2 linked regions of the Kluyveromyces lactis genome follow. The protein of the gene in region 2 interacts with the protein of the main gene of each other region in a biochemical or structural test. Links are inferred from orthologs where the notes say so. Each region holds a gene or a part of one and is shown on either strand. Other genes may lie near its edges.

Region 1 (2,678 bases), about 150 kb from region 2:
GATCTAAGCATACTACCATATCGACACGAATATCTTTTGGGAAAGAAGACTCTATTTGTTTAATATTATCCGAGCAAATGAGATGGCAAGTACATGAGAAATTTTTTGGCTTATTCTTTGTCTTTATAGTTTGGCCATCATGTCTAACAATATTCACCTTATTACCAAGTAGGAGAGCCTCTAAGAGATCCATAGTTCTGTCGGACCTTGCCATTAATACAGTGTGTGTCTCATATTCTTGAACAAGAGTAATAAGATCTCTCAAGACAGCAAATTTTCCCGATGTCTCAGCAAGGTGGCCAGGAATGTCCTTTGTTATCAAGGATTTTGGCATAAAATGGTCGATTAAAAGGTAAGGGTGTGTAGCAACATATTCACTATTCAAACACATCGATTTCATAGACCCTATTACGATATCTTCTCTATAATCTGATGTTTCAAAGTACTTCAAAATATCTGAGTAATGCAACGATACAATTTGGTCGGTTAACTCTTTCTGATATAAGCACATGGATGCAGGTAACCAATAGTCTCCAGACGTGTCTCCAGAAACTCCCATTGTTTGTGCATCGACAATCGCAGGATCCGGCGCAGTATCTAAAATCTTCAGTAAATCCATGATGCACTGAATTTTTCTTTCTATTCAACTAATTGGACGATTTAATGCTCTGGATAGTGGAAGTTCTCACTTTTGAGTGCTGCTGACACTAATTCTCAGATTAGCAATTGTTTTCACAGTAAGGCGTCTGACGGTACTATAGCCTGCACATCATAATTCCTGCTGTTTATACTTTTAAACCAATGCTCATTTTTTGATCAAAAAAAATCCAACCGTAATAGAAGCCTAACATGAAATTAAGATCACTCAAGCTGAGAAGTTCATGAACGAAAATAGTGAACTGTGCTAACTGGAAGCATTGATAAGAGTCGACATACTTGGAGAATTAGTTTTACAATTAGCTAATAACTAACCGATTGTAGTGACGTACAAATAATGAGTGGCGCAGGAGAATTGAGTGCAGGTATGTCAACATGATAAGATATTTCAATCATGATATCAAGTAATGAATATAACCGGAATAGGCTGGGAAAGTGAGTTTATTTACTAACAACAGGGCATTCTAATCCCAACAGATGAAATTGCTCTATACGATAGGCAGATCCGGTTATGGGGAATGACAGCCCAGGCCAATATGAGATCTGCCAGTGTTTTGTTAATTAATTTAGGTGCGATTGGTAATGAGATAACGAAAAATATCGTTCTAAGCGGGATTGGTTCATTGACCATATTGGATTCTCATGATGTAACAGAAGAAGATTTAGGTGCCCAATTTTTTATCGGAAAGGATGACATTGGCACGAAGAGATTGGAGGCCGCAAGGCGCCATATTGAAGATATGAACCCTAGAGTTAAGTTAACAGTGGACATATCAGATCTTCAGTCCAAGAATAAAGAATTCTTTTCACAATTCAATCTAATAGTCATAACGGACTTATTTCCCGCAGATATTGAAAAATTGAATGAAGTGACTAGGGAACTTAATGTACCTATCTATGTGGCAGGTATCAACGGGCTCTCTGGTTACATTTTCACTGATCTAGTGGAGTTTATATCCACTGATGAAAAGGTGAAGAGTGCTCGTCCTGAACAACTCGGTAAACAGAGCCCCAATAAGGAAATCATCAATCTATCTGAACGGAAGGATGAAGAAAATAATGCAGTTTATCAGGTCATTACCACCAAACATACTTATAAGCCATTGAAAGAACTTCTGAAATCTGCTACACTTATTAACCAATTGTCTAGACGGCAATTGAAAAGAATGACTCCAAAGGTTCCCTTAACTCTTACACTATTACAGTATGAAACTTTTCAAAACATAAATTTAGATGATTTTAGGAAGAAGTATGATTTAACTCGTAAGCAGCTTGGTTTATTAATTGGAGAAATCAGCAATGATACCATTGAAGAATTTGTTGAACAAGCCGCTGTAGAAATCAGTCCTGTGGCAGCAATCATTGGAGGAGCCGTTGCACAAGACGTGATAAATATTCTAGGGAAAAGGCAATCTCCGCTTAATAACTTCGTTGTTTTTGATGGTACGTCTTTAGATATGTGGGTATTCGAACTTTAATGACCCTGGTTTAGTAATTTAGCAATCAGTATCATTATATAGGACTAATTTATATAACATATGCTCATAAAACGCTTTATGAGATTTTTATCAAATATGTACCTGGTTGGAAAGCATAAGCATGGTATGTTCAACACTACTGCCATCAGGACAATAATTATGTTTGACCATTAACAGTTACTTGTTGCAAGTGGGACATGAAATTTTGTAAAGAAACATCATCAGTCAACACGATAGTTGAACCAGCGACAGCACCACTTTGATAACTGTCAGATGGGTTCAACTTGGATAACAAGAATCTGGCTTGCGAACCGCCAGCCTCAGTATCAATGAATCTTGGTAGAGGGAATCTGTCAATCAATAATTCTGCTGCTTCAAGCTTTGGTTCTTCTAATAAGGACTTGAAGTCTGCATACTGCGGATCATCTTGGTAACCTGCTTTTCTCCATTGAGCAATCTGTTCACCGTGATAAATCAAAATATAAAAGAAGGTATCCAACAACAAAATTGTGTTTGGTTTCACTGAAACAGAATCTAACAACA
Region 2 (3,765 bases):
TGGATAGTGGATTTGTGAACAACAAGGACCTTTGATCTATCAACGGCTCTAGCGTATTCAAAAGCGTATCTAATGACTCTTTCAGAAGCATCCTGAGTAATCAACTTGATGGATTGGACGACACCTGGAGCAACAACGTGTTCGATACCAGAATATTCACCTTCAGTGTTTTCTCTGATCAAAACTAAGTTAACGTTTTCGTAAGTAGTCTTGTAACCCTCGATAGATTTAGCTGGACGCACATTAGCGAACAAACCGAAAGTCTTTCTTAAGGTTAAGTTCAAGGATCTGTGACCCTTACCAATTGGAGTAGCCAATGGACCCTTCAAAGCAATCAAGTTCTTGTTAATTGAAGCAACAGCTGGATCTGGAATAGTAGTTAATCCGTTAACGAAAATTGGACTCACATCACAACTTTCCCATTCAATAGGAACCTTGGCTGCGGAAAAGATCGCCTTAACGGATTTGGAAATTTCTGGACCAACACCATCACCTTCAATGAAGGAAACAGTGTACTTACCAGTCTTTGGGTTTGGCTTACCGGTGTATCTACCGATACTTGGTTGTTTCTTGGTAGCCAAAAATCTACACGATTGCTTCACAATTGATTGTCTGAACATGTCTTTATAGTATGATTGTTGAGGAGAACGGAGAGAAATAATGAAATCCCAAAAATATGTGTCTGACGAATTTCGTTGATATTGTGTCAAATCAGTGACGGGTTACGTTCGTTTTGACTTGAAGATACGAATTGAGTTATTTCAGTTCGTCGTTACGTTGATTCTCTGTTTAATCTTACTCTAGAAGATAAACGATTAATTGGAAAAAATGAAAACCACAAAATAACACTGGTATATATACACCCTTTTATCTGCTTTTGTATCACTCAACAGTCGGAAAGACAGAACCTTACCTCGAGAAAACGAGCTTATATTTATCCGTGTTCAATTGCAGAAATCGACAGGTATTCTGAAATCCTTTATTTTAGGATATATATATATTCGATTTATATTTCTCAGATACTTAATGTAATTTCCCATATGCATCAACATTAACTGAGCACACATAGGCTCGAAGTAGTGCAGCGAATTGGAAAACATCTCGTCATGGAAATCGTTTCGGGACCGAGAAAAGGATGATGGTTCACGGAGGGTAACTCCGAACACGGCCTCGGTTTCAGTCATGTGATGTGAAAATTATTTGCACGTGACTGTGTTTTTTTTCTCTGCTGTTTTCATTGTATCGTTGAAAAATAGTAGCTGGCCATCCATTGAATATTATGAACCTTCCTTTAAAGAGTGCAACATTACTTGTTTGGACAACTACCCTTTAAAAGGAAAAAAGTATACTCAGCTTACCATTTGAAACATCAAATTGTTGATATTTTCCATTGATAACCATTTAAAGTTTTTAGCTAAAGACTTAGAGCTCAACCAATTGTTTGGCATATATTCACGATGGCAAGAGAGACGAATTTGGTAAAATGCATAGGTAAAGAAAGCTTTGAAAAGCTGCGCGATATGAAGGTGTTACTTGTTGGCGCAGGTGGAATTGGCTGTGAGCTTTTGAAGGATTTGATTTTGTTGGAAATAGGTGAAATCCATATCGTTGATTTGGACACTATTGATTTATCGAATTTGAACAGACAGTTTTTATTTAGGAAGAGAGATATTAAACAACCTAAAAGTAATACTGCAATGAAAGCAGTTCAAAGGTTCAGCAACTCTAAACTAGTTTCATATCAGAATAATATCATGGATACAGAAAAGTTCCCACTTTCGTGGTTTGATCAGTTTTCGATTATATACAATGCATTGGACAATCTAGCGGCAAGAAGATACGTCAATAAGATGTGTCAGTTCACTAATAAACCTTTGATCGAATCTGGGACTTCGGGATTCGATGGATACATACAGCCAATCTTCCCAAGTGTCACTGAATGCTTTGATTGCACCACTAAGGAGACACCAACTACGTTCCCGGTCTGTACCATTAGATCCACGCCATCACAGCCAATCCACTGTGTGGTTTGGGCCAAGAATTTCCTATTTGGCCAACTTTTTGCAGAATCCTCAGAAGAGACCGTAAATGATCAAGATTTAGGTACTGATGATAAAGAAGAAATCGCCCGCATCAAAGAGGAGACTAACGAATTACATGCTCTCCAGCAGTTAGTCAAGTCCGGCGATGAGACGAAAATCACAGATATTTTAAAGAAATTGTTCGTCGATGATATCAATAAACTTCTAAAGATTGAAAATCTTTGGAAAACGAGAGTGAAACCAACACCTTTAGGTGCTTTACTACCATCTGATAATATCCCAACAGATCTAGCTCAGGTATGGACATTGCAAGAAAATGTAGATAAGTTTATCGAAGTTACGAAGACATTGATGTTGAGATTAAGGCAGGAACCATTCATAGAATTCGATAAGGATGATGACGATACCTTATTGTTTGTAGCTTGTGCCGCGAATATCAGATCTTACATCTTCCACATTGCACCTAAATCTGTCTTTGATATTAAACAAATGGCTGGTAACATTATTCCTGCCATTGCCACTACAAACGCGATCATCGCCGGTCTTTCTTCATTGGTTTCTTTACGTGTTCTAAACTTGTTGAGTAACGTATCAAATAATCCTTTAGAAATTCCAATGGCATTTACGGCAAGGGCAAGTAATATCACCACAAATAGGTATCTATCGAATCCAACTCTCGCACCCAAGAATCCTCATTGTTCAGTATCTTCTAACATTCAAAGAGCCGTACTGAAAATACCAAAGGCAATTGTTGAGCACATGTCTTTGTACGATCTTAATCAGAAAATCATTTCAAAATATGAGTTCACTGGTGAATACTCCGTTCTCGATACTAATACTAACAGCTTATTGTACGATTTTGATTTTGATGATTTAGAATGCCGGAAGCTTTCAAGATTCAACTTCAGAACTGGTACTTTTCTTCTTTATAAAGACGAGGAAATGGAAGATGGTGCTCAATTAAGGCAGTCAATTGAGTTCTACTTGGAATTTGTACCAGAAAATAGCGGGGAAGACCTTCAGTTACCAAATCTACCAAGAGATACATACACTTATCATTCCCCTTATGAGAATGCAGAGGATGAACAAACAGCTGTCGATGCAGACCAAGATAGAACTGAAGACCATATTCAAGCCATCGAAACCCTGATAGTAGATGATGAGCCTGCCGAGGATGAAAGGAATAATTTGAAGAGGCATCTTTCAAATAGTATTCCATCTCCACCAACAAAGACACCCAAGTTGAATGCATCACAATCTGATGAAGATGATCTTATCCTGCTCGATTAATTGAGCATCGCTAGTCTTCCATATCTATAGATATCTGTTTTACAGTGATGGATATATATATATATATAAACGCACATTAAAGAACTGTAATTATAATAGTACAACATTTTTTGGAGTTTTATTACGTAGTAACATATGGCAAATATGATGAGGAAAGTACAAACAATGATTACAACTGCCAGAAAACCAAAACTGAAAAATAAAGAAGAATTCAACCATTATCATAGATGAGAAAACAGTTATATGCCCATTTGCCAAAGTTGAAATATTGTGTGACAAACATTACGGTATATCAGGTTATTCTCGAATAGATGATCTTGAATGACTTTTTAGTCTTTGCAACCAAGATTCTCGTTTTTTGGATCTTGGTTGACGTTCCTCTTGGCCATCTTCGAAGTCGCTGTCTGTCTTTGAGGTTGGGAAATCATCTTTA

The links. The genes of interacting proteins can lie anywhere in the genome.
Region 1: the proteins of UBA2 (region 2) and AOS1 form a complex in vitro, tested with the Saccharomyces cerevisiae proteins (2 studies listed by BioGRID). The link is inferred for Kluyveromyces lactis from reciprocal best matches to the Saccharomyces cerevisiae genes UBA2 and AOS1.

Annotation. Positions count from the first base shown.
Region 1 is NC_006041.1:431,006-433,683, forward strand, and holds AOS1 (E1 ubiquitin-activating protein AOS1), read left to right. Parts: upstream 1-994; coding exon 995-1,022; intron 1,023-1,134; coding exon 1,135-2,135; downstream 2,136-2,678. Other genes in the region: HDA3 (Hda3p), read right to left, coding at 1-619; GTPase-activating protein SEC23, read right to left, coding at 2,293-2,678. UniProt on the Saccharomyces cerevisiae protein: Could be involved in a ubiquitin-related process important for DNA damage tolerance.
Region 2 is NC_006041.1:285,680-289,444, reverse strand, and holds UBA2 (E1 ubiquitin-activating protein UBA2), read left to right. Parts: upstream 1-1,457; coding exon 1,458-3,332; downstream 3,333-3,765. Other genes in the region: isocitrate dehydrogenase (NAD(+)) IDH2, read right to left, coding at 1-620; KLLA0_E03081g (Rho GTPase-activating protein), read right to left, coding at 3,630-3,765. UniProt on the Saccharomyces cerevisiae protein: The dimeric enzyme acts as a SMT3 E1 ligase. It mediates ATP-dependent activation of SMT3 and formation of a thioester with a conserved cysteine residue on AOS1.